Linked DNA regions of Diceros bicornis minor. The protein of the gene in region 1 purifies or fractionates together with the protein of each later gene. This does not show direct contact. Links are inferred from orthologs where the notes say so. Each region holds a gene or a part of one and is shown on either strand. Other genes may lie near its edges.

Evidence for each region.
Region 2: the proteins of LLGL2 (region 1) and DCAF1 purify together in Homo sapiens (co-immunoprecipitation; 3 studies listed by BioGRID and IntAct, counting the BioPlex papers as one, with this or other methods). This does not show direct contact. The link is inferred for Diceros bicornis minor from reciprocal best matches to the Homo sapiens genes LLGL2 and DCAF1.
Region 3: the proteins of LLGL2 (region 1) and RAD18 purify together in Homo sapiens (affinity purification with mass spectrometry; 3 studies listed by BioGRID and IntAct, counting the BioPlex papers as one, with this or other methods). This does not show direct contact. The link is inferred for Diceros bicornis minor from reciprocal best matches to the Homo sapiens genes LLGL2 and RAD18.

Annotation. Positions count from the first base shown.
Region 1 is NC_080757.1:55,973,179-55,977,341, forward strand, and holds the start of LLGL2 (LLGL scribble cell polarity complex component 2), read left to right. Parts: upstream 1-1,711; 5' UTR 1,712-1,815; intron 1,816-1,842; exon of another isoform or gene 1,843-2,633; intron 2,634-4,163. Other genes in the region: TSEN54 (tRNA-splicing endonuclease subunit Sen54), read left to right, coding at 21-171. UniProt on the Homo sapiens protein: Part of a complex with GPSM2/LGN, PRKCI/aPKC and PARD6B/Par-6, which may ensure the correct organization and orientation of bipolar spindles for normal cell division.
Region 2 is NC_080741.1:52,255,054-52,259,216, reverse strand, and holds the start of DCAF1 (DDB1- and CUL4-associated factor 1), read left to right. Parts: upstream 1-1,189; 5' UTR 1,190-1,358; intron 1,359-4,163. UniProt on the Homo sapiens protein: Acts both as a substrate recognition component of E3 ubiquitin-protein ligase complexes and as an atypical serine/threonine-protein kinase, playing key roles in various processes such as cell cycle, telomerase regulation and histone modification.
Region 3 is NC_080741.1:71,259,467-71,263,629, forward strand, and holds the start of RAD18 (E3 ubiquitin-protein ligase RAD18), read left to right. Parts: upstream 1-1,502; 5' UTR 1,503-1,573; coding exon 1,574-1,624; intron 1,625-4,163. UniProt on the Homo sapiens protein: E3 ubiquitin-protein ligase involved in postreplication repair of UV-damaged DNA. Postreplication repair functions in gap-filling of a daughter strand on replication of damaged DNA.

The sequences.
Region 1 (4,163 bases):
TCTAACCTTTATCCCTGCAGGTTTGATGAGCCAGCCCCAGACCTCTGCACCCTCAAGCGGTTGTCCTACCAGAGTGGGGATGTTCCTCTGATCTTTGCCCTGGTGGATCACGGAGACATCTCCTTCTACAGCTTCAGGGACTTCACACTACCCAGGGATCTGGAGCACTGACCACCCAGCCCTGGCAGGGCCTGGGGCTTGCTCTGGGGGACCTGGACTGTCTACTCTCAGGGACCATCTCAGCTGCCTCCTTCACCGAGACTCTGACCTGTACCTGCAGGGGCTAGTCTGGGCCGTGGCCCTGGGTGTCAGATGCTTGCAGGAGAGTGAAGCTGTGCCCCACACCTGGCTGCTGCAGTGCTTCCAAGCCCCAGGCCTGAGATTGCTGCCTTGCAGTGATCCTTCTGGAACCCAGGACTAGATTTCAGAGACCCAGAGAGGTGGGGCAGAAGAGAGGACTCTGTGCCTTTAAATGAGAGGGTGCCTGCTTCATACAATAAAGCCAAAGCCATTAAAAAATAGATGCTTTTTCTGCTGGCTGGATACAGTGAACAAGTTCCCCAGCCCCACTCGGGGAGTGCAGGACCTTCCCCCCCCCCATCCGGTTGTCCGTGGAACTGACCCCTAAGCCCTCACCCTTGCTTTGCTCACCCACAGAGAGCGCTGCTGTCTCGGTTTGGGACCTAAAAGAAGGTCGCGGGAGGGCGGGGACGAAATTCGGTACTTTTCTCAGGGCCTGCGCCGGAGGGGATGGGAAGTCAGACCTCTAGTCAGCTTGGCTTTCTGAAGGGCAGTCCGAGGAGGCGAGCCGGCGCTCCATCGGACCTTCCTTGAACGCAGCCGGGTCCGAGTAGAAGAGCGTCTGAGAGGGGCCAGGTCGATGTGGCTTGAATCTTAGTCGCTTGGAGCTGTGAGGTGGAGCGCGCCATTCACGCCCCCGGCCTCGGGCCGGGTTTCCGCGCGCCTTCCGCTCCCGCCTCTCGTCGCTCCAACCCTCTCCCTTGTTCTAAAAACTCCGGTCGCTGTTGCTGTCCCTCGGGGCCTCGGGCGCCTGCCTGCCTCAGCAGCAAGTCGGCGGCGGGGATTCCAGGCTTGGGGCTCGCTGCGATGGGAGGCGCCTTCGGGCGACGCGCTCGTCCCCATGCCACCTCTGGCTCTTGGGTCCCGAAACCTAGCCCTGTGTCTGCCTGTTACCCTCTCTAATTGGGTTGAGTGCGCTCAGGAAAAGCCAGCCGGGCTATGCCCCTCCCTCAGCAGCTCGGGGCCGGGTTGTGGGAGGGACGGCTCCCCTCTGCAGTCGGCCTGGGAGGTGGCCCCGGACCCCGCGCGTTCCGGGAACTATTTACTTATCCGGGAGGCGGCGGGACACTGGGCGCGGCGCGCGGTACTGCGACCAGGTGCGCGCAGGTGAGGCCGGGGGCGGGGCGGCAGCGCCTCGTGCATATTCACGCGGGCCGCGGTCCCGCCCCCGCGCTCCTCAGGGCCGCGGATTGGCCCGAGCGCGGCCCTCGCCCCCCGAGCGCGCCCTAGCTGCGCCCCCGCTGCGCCCCCGCCCGGTCTGCGTAGGGCTGCGGGGGGCGCGGCCGGGGCGGGGCCGGAGGCGGGCCCCTGGGGCTGGCGCGCGGGGTTCCGCGGCTCCAGCCGGCTCGCCCTTTATGTAAATAGCGGCGGCTCCGCCCCCGTTCGCCGCGCCGGAGGTGAGCAGGAAGGAGACAGCCGCCCAGCAGCCCGTGGGCCGGCGGCTGAGTGAGCGGAGCCGGCGGCGGGCGCCGAGGGACGCCGAGGCCTCGGGCGGGGGCCGGCCTGGGGTTCCAGGTGAGGCGCGGGCCGGGACCCATCTAGCCGGGCCCGCCCTTCAGGACGCCCGCCACTGGGGGCGGAGAGGCAGGAGAGGGCCAGGACTCCCGGCTTCCCCGGGTCTGTCGGGGAGGGCTGCGCCCAGGTCAGCCCGCCGCCCTGGATCCGTCGCTCCTCTCGTCTGGGAGAAAGACACCTGTGCAAAGTGCAGCTGGAAACTTTTCTCTGCCCGATCCGCCCGTGTTTACAGAATTAGGAGTTCGCGTTTGAACAACAGTGTTGGCTTTGGGGAGCAGGGAAACAGGTGCTCGGCCCGGCTGGTTACCGGGGTCACTGCGAGCGGAGACGCGGTCCCTGGGCCGCGGGCCCCAAGTGCAAGGCGCCTGGCCGGGGAGGCCGGCGACGCACGTCTCCAGTGGCCCTCTCTCAGCGAGCAGTGGCCGGAGCGCGTTACCTCGGCGGCTTAGTCCCTGCCCCTGCCATCTGGGCCCTCTCCCTGGCGGCCTTTTGTGCCTCCTAATCCTCGGACGCAGGAAGCCCGCGGGAGGGACTTCGGTCTCGGGTCCTTTCTCCGCCTCGGGCGGCTTCGGACACCTTAGGGGACGGTACGGAGACCCCAGTCTATTTTCCACGACAACAGGGGCGGAGTTGCGTTGTGGTACGTTGGGACTTGGCGAGGAGTAGAAAATTCTGTCTTGCCAAGAAAGTGTGCAAAGTCTGCTCTTGGTTTGCTCCTGCTGGACCGTTGGTGGACACACTGAGCTTTGGCTGTGGGGAGAATTGACTGTAACCAGGGGAGCTGTGGTGTGGCCCCCTGAGGCTCTCATCTGAGACAGGTGAGCTTTGGGTGAGGTGGGCGGGGCCGAGACTCAGCGCCCCTTCCCATGGGAATCCATGTGCCAGATGCAGGACAGCTTAACCTGGGCTCTAGGGACCCTCTGCAGAGTTTTTGACTGAAGGTTCTGTCAGGCTGCAGAGGAGGGGAACTGGGAGGGAATGAGTGTGTCAGGGAGACGAGAAGCCCCAGGTGGGAAGAACAGGGCAGCAGTGTAGAAGAGCCCCAGGTGGGAAGAACAGGGCAGCAGTGTAGAAGAGCTGTGGCCCAGCACAGGGAAAGCCAAGGTCAGAAGTGGCTCTTGAGGAAGACAGTCTGGGTCTGTGTGAGCTGAGGCGTGGGAAGGGTCCTGGGAGATATGGTCCAACTTCTTTATTTTATGGACGGGGAATTCGGATTTGGTTTTCTTGCCCACAGTGCTCACTTATGGCAGTCAGGACTCAGACCCAGCTCCGGGGGCTCTGACCAGGGCTCACTCCTGTTTTCTGGTTAGACTGGGCCGATCTCTTTGGGGCCCACTAGATAGTGTTTCCAGGGTCTGAGGTCATTCTGCATCCCTAGTGTTTTTTGAGGCAATGGAGTATCCCCTTCGACGGCAGATTAATATAATTTTAATAACTTAGTAACTTTTTAATACACAATTGCATTAAAAGGAAAAAAAGGCCTATAATCCCAGATGACCCCTGTTTGTTTAAAAAATAAAAAGTTAATAGAGCCCATAGCAGGGAAAATGAAACATTTAGGAATTATAAAATAAGAGGAAAAAACTTCTCTGTCTGGCCTCATCGTCTTTTTCCTCAAACATAGTTTATTATGTTTTAGTGTCTTTCCAGACATCAGGTATAGCTTTGAATTGGGCCTTGCTGATTTCTTGCTGCATGACCTTGGCTCAGTCACTTAACCGTGCCAAGCCTCAGCGAGCCTTGTTTTTACAGACGTTGACAGGATGAAAACTGTCACGAATATGTGTGGCCTGGCACCTAGCCGGCTGGCACCAGGTGAGGGTGAGCTTCTTCCCCATGAAGCATAAAAAGAATAGTCACTTTCAGGCCTTTGGGCACACGCCTGGGCCTTTTGGATGTGCCTGATGGATTGTGAGGGAATTTGGCTTCTCTGACCAGAAATCAGCCAAGAGATCATGATTTTTGAAAGCCTCTGGAAGTCAAAACTTTTAAAACAAGGACGTTGCTCCTTGAGAGTAGGGGGTGCAGAGGTAGAGGACAGTGGCCTTTCCTAACCTCACCTTGTGTTTCAGGGGACCTGGGTACTTCCTTGCTCCTTGAAAGAGCCAGGAGTGAGGCCTGATGGCCAGACTCCAGCCGGGGGCCTTTCCTGGGAGGGAGGGGGTGTAGAGTCGGATCTGCTCTGGGGAGGGCTTGGCTATATACACTCTGCACCCTGTTAGGGGGGAGCACATTCCTGTGCTGCTCTGCTGTCCTTAAGGAAATTTTCTGGGAACTCCATAAGTGCTTCCTTTCAACCTCATTTAGGAAAGGGGTGTCCTCTCCTGCCAGGACTTCCTGGCCCCAGG
Region 2 (4,163 bases), on another chromosome or scaffold:
GGCTCAGAGCTGAGCCTGCTGTAAGGTTAAAGAAAATGGTAGTGACAATTATTGATATAGGCAAAGTTCCAGAAGCACAGAGAAGAGAGCTGTGTGTTGTGGTGGGTGAAAGGGTTGCAGAGAGGTGACATGTCTGCAGTGCTGCCACTCCACATTCTAGAATTTTGTGCCTGAACACCTGCTCCAAGTTACACACTTAAGTGAAGGAGAGAGGTCTGTTTTCTGGAAAGAAGGGGAATGGAGTCCAGTGGGGAATGGAATCAAGCTTCTAGGCTCTGGCTAACTTCTTACTAGTTACAGAACCTGAGCATGGCAGCAGGCTTGCTGTGTCCTGTGTTCCCCCATGAAAGTGTTGGCTGTGAGGACTCCATAGAAATGCACAGAAACTTGCTCAGGACTCCCAGGGAGACAAAAGCTGGGTAGCATGTTGTGAGGGAGAGATTCTGTTAAGCTGTGGAGTCACATTTATCTTTCATGTCCCTAAAAAGGGATCCCTGAGTCAGAGTCAGGGATAGTTCTGGTTCTGCTCCCAAGCTAATTGGTTGTGTGATGCTAGGCAAGTCACTCAGTCTCTCTGGGCCTCATTTTTCCCAGCTGCAAAATAAACGAATTAGATGACCTCTGAGGTCAGCCCTGCCTTACTCTATGTCCTTTTGATTTTTTTTCCTTACCTAGGATAAATATTTGTTGATCCTACAGGCTAGGTCTTGAACAGAAAGACAAAGAAAACCAGTGCCTTGTATTTAATGAGTGCTATGATTTCTGATATGCTTGCCAGAAATATTTTCTTACATCCTGGTATGTTCTAGGTATAATGGGGCAAACGAGAGAATACAACAAGGACTCCCCCCTGTCACACAGGGCAGAAAAGGTACTGACAAGGTATCAAGCCCTAACAGCCCTGGCTTGGGAGCATTGAGTGCCTCACTTTTCGCTGCCGCCTACCGAAGCAGCCAATGAGTACACAGCAGTTGGTGTTTATGCTAAAAACTACAAATTCCAGAAGTCAATGCGCGAGGGCGAAGTGCTTACGCGCAAATCAAGATTAGTGGGCCCTGCCCCTAGAAGCGGAACTTCATTTCCCGGCGGCCCCGGGGCTCGTCGATATTCCTCCGTTGGCGCTGGCGTTCTCCTCCTGCCTCCTGCCAGCAAGCCCCGCGCCAACTCGGGGCGCGCGCGCGCGCGCGCGGGGGGGGGCGGGGCACGTAGCACGCGAGTGACGCATAATATGTGGGCCGTTCCGGAGCCGTGGTCGCGCTGTGTGTGAGTGAGGGAGAGTGAGTGCGGGACCTGAGGCGGTGTGTGTGAACTGTGGCCACTGGCGGGGTCAGGGGGGAGCGGCGGAGCCGCCCGGGAAGGTGAGTGGGGAAAGGAAGGAGACGGCTCTCTGGGAGGGGCGCGAGGAGATAAGGCGCGTGGCGGTGCGGGCGGGAGAGTGGGCGCCGGGCTGGGGGAGGGGCGGCACCTGCCTGGGCCGCCGGCGGGGAGGGGGCGGGCCGGCCCGCTGGGGAGGCTGGGCCCGGGGCCTGACAGGACTTTTCCTCCTCCAGATTCTTGGCTTGGGGGCGGGGCCTCCACGTTCTTCCTCCAGTCCGCGAAAGCAGCTTTCCGAGAGTAACTCTTCTGCTCGGAGTGGGGGGCAGGACTGTGCCACCCCTACCAGGAGGAAGGGCGCCTCTTATTCCCCTCGTCACCTTTTTCTTCCCAATCCTCCCAGTCTCGGTTCCGTACGAGCTGGGGGGCTCCATCTTCCTTGCCGTACGGCGGGCCCCTTCCCAGACTGTCTCCGCCTCCAGCTCCAGTCACCTGGGCGGGCTCTCCCCTCCCTCGGCCTCGTGCCACCTCCCCTTGCGTGGCCCGGCTCTCGGACCCGGGTTAGGGGGGCGGAGCTTTCCGCCCAGTTCTGTCACACCGAGGGTGGAGCGGAGGGGTGGAGAGAGGTGTGCGGGGCTTGCAGCGTGGAGCCAAACCTTCCAAGTGCCCACCAAGCTTCCCGGGAGCCTATTTCTGGGGGTTTTATAGTTGTTTTTAACTGTGGTGTCAGAGGCATTTGCTTAACTGGCTCTTCTCTTCCTAGATGCTGTCCGTGTCACTTCCTCTTATTGCAGTGTTAGCGCTCGGGTTTCACATTTGTTGAAGTGGTTTTGGAGTGTTTGTAGTAGTTCTTTTTGAGTCCCAAATGACTCGTCCTTGTTCACGTCATGTTGGCCTCAGTTTTTCCTTACTCTGTCTTTTCAATGATGTCTTTTAATTAGTCTACGTGCTTTAATTATTAATTTATATTAGCAGCATGTTCCTGTTCTAAACGCTTTGTTAATATACAGAGTGAGGTTCATTGACAGTGTCATTCTGTAATTTTCTTTCTCCAGTTTACTGGAGTTTACCTTTAAGGTTTATATAAGCTTGTATATTTAGACTCTTTAGGAATTCGTTTGGTATTTTTCTGCTTGTTGCTGTCGAGATTTGGGTTTTCTATATAGCAGTTTTACCTTATGCGCTTTCCAGCGGTAATATATTTGTGGATATTGAGATAATAGATACAGAATTTGGGGAATATAAAGGAGATCATTTTATGCTCAAAATCTCTTGAGTGGTTGCTGAGCAGTGTTCTGCTGTTCTTTCTGTTGTACAGTTGTTAAATTTAATAGAGGAGGAGTCTGGTAGAATGAACCACTTGTTAGTTTGAAGTGACTGAAGTTGATTTATTACCAGTTTTCTTACATTGTTTTTGTAAAGGAGATGGTCATGGACAGGAATAGACAATTGTTACACATGATCTTATATGTCATGCTAATTATTGGATAAATTTTATTTGAAGTTCCAAACTTGGATTTTTTTCCCCCATTTTTTTGTTTTTTTAAAATAAGGAAGAACGCTTTCAGATGTTTGTTTCAGGATTGTAACCTTGCAGGAATCTGTCCTTAATGTGGACTTTATTTTAGGCTTTGGGATAGTTTCTGTTGAATGCCATTCAGTATTGTGTATTAGAAGAGGACAGATTTTATGGTTTAAAAAGTTACGAAAGGTTACAAAATAGTGGAAAAATTGTAGAGCTGGGGTAATAACATACAGAGAAAAATCTTTCTCTTATCTTTAACCCTCAGAAAGTCAATTACTTAACACATGATAGATATTATCCTTTCCTTGTGTATTCTTCCAGGGATATTTTATTCTAGGGACACACACACTCTCTCTCACACACACACTTTGCTTTTCTCATTTGACAATATATTTGAGAGTTGGTTCAAATTAGGAAAGGAAATGTTTCTTAATTTTTTTCTCTTTTTGTTATGAAAATTTTCAAACATACTAAAAAGTTGAAAGAATAGTAAAATGACACTTGTTTATCCATCCAGATTCAACAGTTGTTACTATTTTGTCATATTTTTTTCTATTTATAAATGTGGTGTATATTTCTTTATTTTGTGGAACCGTTGGGAAATAAGATGCAGAAACATCATACCCCTAAATACCTTGGCAGCCATGCTTTAGAAGAAAGACATTCTATGTATTTTTTTGTAGGGCTTTATATTATTCCACTGTATGAACAGTATTATCATTTTACCCTCACAAGAACCATTTCCATTTTACGGAAAAGGAAATTGAGATTTGGAGAAGTTAAATAACTTGACCGAGATCTCACAGGTTTGTCCACAGAGTTGGGATTTGATGCTTGAAACCCTTTTCTACCGAGTAACACTTGGTTGGTTTTGGGGCCCTCTCTGAGCCCATTTCCTCATTTGTAAAAAAGGGGAAGGTTGGTTGTGAAAATTCAGAATAACGTAGTGAATTACTTAGCCAAATGTCTGTCCCGTACTATTATTCACTAAGTGGTAACTGTTGTGTCACTATAGGGCAGGCTGTAAATTCTGCATACCACTTAAAGCACTCACTTTCAAACATAGTAAATTGATTAATGCACCTTCATTGTTTTGTGTATAACAAGATGACTGCACCTTTTACATTTTTTATTAATAGTTTTTCATTGATACTAAAATGAATTATCATTGATATTATTGTTTTAGTCTATTGTAAGTTTATATTTTCCCTGGGCAAGTGATTATTCTCAAAATTATAATTATTCTCAGGCATAATTAATCAGAAGTTTTGAAAATGATACCAGAAGTATGTATGTGTCTAAATTGAACTTGAAAATTTTAGTA
Region 3 (4,163 bases), on another chromosome or scaffold:
GCTATTGTTTTAATGGATATTAAAGTCCTTTGTCCAAATGCTGCTAAGATTATTATTATTGCCCACTGAGTATTTGGGCACAGGCTGGGAAAAATCAGTAGAGTACAGCTCTGGCTCAGAGGCCAGAGGTTCCTTATGATGACAGCCCAAAGGATGGAAGACTTAACCTCTCTGAGCCTCAGTGTCCTTGTCTGTAAAATGGCAATAATAACCTTACCTCTGCCGACTTCACAGGGAAGCTCGAGTGCCTGCCCAATGGAAGCACTTAGAAAAATATTTGTTGAATGAATGAGTGCATGGACCACATGAGGGGGCAGTGGCAAGCTGCAGGGGTCTGCCCTGAGCAACATGACTGCTGACTTGCTGCCCATGAGACCTGATGCAATGGAGGCCCACCTAGGGCAGTGGACGAGTGCTGAATTGAGCAGACACGCTGGGTGGTGCGCTGGTCAGTGCTTCACATTTGGACAATGGGCACTCTTGGTAAGAACGTAAATGTATTGGTATGGCCTTTTTGGAAAAATCATGTAGTGCTAGCTATCACAGTTTTAATAGAGCATCCAAATATACTTAGTAGTTCCATTTATAGGAAATCATCTCCCAGATATCCAGGCTCAAGTATGCCAAGATTTATATAGTGTGTTCAATGCAACTCTTTGCAATAGTGAAAAACTGAAAACAACCTAAATGTTCCTCAGTACGGGAGTAGATAAAGAAATTGTGTTACATCTATACTATGGACCATGCAGCTATTAAAAAGAATGAGGTAAACCTATATGTATTAACATGGAGAGGTCTCAAGATGTACGATTAAATAAACAGAAAAACTCAAGTTGATAGAGCTATGCATTTAATATAATAACATTTGTGGAAAAAATCGTATCTATGTATCTGAATAGGAAATATCTGGAAGGCTACACAAAGTTAAGGTGGTTATCTCTAACCACCTTACCTTTAACCTTTGAAGTTAAAATTTTAAATTCATAAAAGAGCTCCCATATGAAGTCTCGAGGCCCTATTTGTAGTCTGGTCAGTGACACCGCGTGACGCAATGACAGCCTATTCGCGTTTTTGAGCCGAAGCTTCCTCCTGTGTAAACTAACAATAATACCTACCTCCTCGTGCTGTGATGGGTGAGATGAAATAACATGTATGAAATCCCCTGCTCAGGGCAAGGATAGATCACTAGAGCAATCAGGGAGGGTGACTCGAAGAAGGAGGCATGAGTCTAGACTTTGAAAGATTTGGCAAGGCCTGGATTTAGTTTGATTCCCGGTTGTCTTTTCCAATATTCAACAGGCATTTATTTATTAAAGGTCTGGTACAAAACCGGATGTGGGCTTTTTAACTACTCACCTCCTGTCGCAAGCTGCCAAGCAGCAGCCTAGCGCGTGCGCAGTGAGAGCATCTTTGGCTGAGCTCCGCCCACGTACTACAACTCCCGGCAGGCTCTGCGCACGGTTTTGGCGCGTCGCGGAATACTGACGTAGCTCAGTAGCGCGGGGAATTTCGAGTGGCAGTGGAGCGCGAGAGGCCAGTGGTTGGCGGACCCCCAGCCTCCGTAGGAGAGACCATGGACTCCGTAGTTGAGCCTCGGTGGCCTCCAGGCCTGGCAGTCATGAAAGTGAGTGCTTCGGGGAGGTTGGGGGCGCCCGGGTGTCCGCGGGAGGCCTGCCCCGCCTTGAGGAGGAGAAGGGAGGAGGCGCGAGCAGGGAGCTGGGCCAGGGTACCCGGCTCTGCTCTGCCGCTTGCCGACTGCGTGGCTCTGCGCCTCAGTTTCCTCCCCTGAGAAGTAACAGGGACAGGCCTCGGTCCCTTACGTGAGTTGAAGTTGGCCGTCGTATGGAACCGGGTATTCTGCGGTTCAGCCACAACCATAACACTGACCTCGAGAAAAACAGTTATTCTCAACAATGAGAACGACAATGACAACTAATCCTTCCTGAGGGCTTGCTATCTGCTAAGCATTATGTAAACTCTCGTAGTATGTTGGTTGAGATTTCCCAAAGTGACACCAGACGTGATTTTGGGTGGACCCTGCATCAAATAACATTTATTTAATCACTTAGCGAAGCAGGTAGTCTCCTTTACATTCTCTTTGGTTTCTTCTAATTAGACTCTGGAAGCCTAGCGCTGGTTTGTCCTAACTCCTCCCTAATGTGTCCTAACTCCTAACAGTTGTGCATCTCTCTTTTAAACAAAGAGATCAGGACTCAGGCTCAGCACTAGCCTTTCATTTCATTGAATTATTTCACTTAAATAACACATTTTTGTGGCTACTTTGTTTTTAGCAAGGCATATCAGTTTCCATTTATATTAGTGGTGATCCCTGGATTCCTGCTAGGTTTAGTCAAGAGCGAATACACTTTGCTGTGTTACCTAAGAATCAGTTGCTTGGTTTTGCTCCCTGCTCTGTGATTATTTCAGTTTGTGGCTGTGGGCAAGATCGAGTTCTCGTTTTGTTCGTCAGTTTTGTAAACTTGGGGATTATGGTATCTGTCCCACAGACTCGTAAGGCTGATTTTGAGAGTCAAGTAAGGGGACTTGAGAGAAGTTAAAGTAAGTATAAGGCCTTGTTCGTCCTGCTGTCATCAGTGTCATCTACAGTGCTTGGGGCCTTGAGATATCCCCATGGTGAAAAGCTGACATTGTGGAAGGATCCACGAAAGCTGTAGTTTTGAAGTTGTGGTGGCCTTGGCACCAAGCTGCAATGGAGAAGAGCATAGATTTGAGTTTCAGTGCTCCTGAGTTAAATCTGGTCTCTGCCTCTTATTTACCGTGTGATGGTGAGTTACTTACTTAACCTCTCTGAGCTTGAATTTCCTCAACTCTAAATCTGAGACAAAAATAAACAGTTTATAGGATTGGTTAAATGAATTGATGTATCTGGATAGGGATCCTGTTTGGCTTTTTTCATTGTGCGTAACTGAGTGCCTGGCACATAGTGGATGCTCAGAAATTGTTTGCTAATTGATTCAAGGTGTCTGGAAGGTAGTAAGCATTCAATTATATATCTTTATTATTGTTATTAGCCCTTAACGTGTTAAGTGTTTCCCCCCTCCTTTGTATTTCTTGTTATGAAGAGTGAATTGGATAAAGGAAGTGAAAGCTCTGTAACTTGTAAAGCACTTGCTTTGTAGATTTAAGCATATTTTACATATTTATATATTCCACATGTTTTTTAGAGGCACGTTCCACGTCTCCTCTGGTTTTGGTATCTCACCACAGCACTTAATACAGGGACAGCACCAGAGAGTGTTCAGTGATGGAGTTGATTGAGCCCATATTAGAATCATGGTATCTTAAGGTTGGAAAGCCAGCTCCCTCCAGTATTTTAATCCCTTTTATAGCATATCTGCCAATTTCTCATCTAGCTTTTGCTTGAACTCTTCCAGGGACGAAGAACTACCTGCTCCCAGAAGTAGCTCTGTTTGAAGTTCTTTCTTATGTTGAATAGAAATCTGACTCCTGAATCCTTGGTTCCAGACCTAGGATCCATGGAAAGACTTTGGTATCTGGAATTATTTATAAAATTTTTGTCTATGTGTATGTTTTTCTGAGAAGAGAGTCCATAGTTTTCATCCATTTTTCAAAAGGATCTGTGACCCAAAAAACTTAAGAACCTTTGCTCTAATTATTTAGTCTTTTCACCCGTTCCCCACTTCCCCTTTTTACTTTGTCTCTCTAAGTTAAAGAAATCCTGGGCAATCCACTTGACCGCTCTCTATTCAGGCTATTTTTTTTTTTTTTGGTTGAGGCACACGTGGTATGCATGTTACTGGCTTGAAATGGCATGACTAGAAATTTATACAGGCTTGTTACAACTCATTTGATGCGGTGTCACCTTCCACAAATTTCGCTCAGCAGATCTATCAGAGCCACTCCTCTGGAAGAGGATGGTTATGTAGAAGCAAGTTGAACAGAGTTGAGGCCAGGGCTCTGGCTTCCAGCCCTGCCTCTGCTCTTAACTGGTCTTCAACACAATCCAGCTTTTTGTGTCAGTGCTGGCTTACCATCCAAAATAATGGAAGATTTTGGCATTTTAATGTTTATTTCTCTAGTTTTATTGTAACAAAAATTTCTATTTTTGACAGATTATAAATGTAGCATGTGTGTATAGTAGAAAAACATAAAAATTCAGAATAAGATAAAGGGGAAAATGA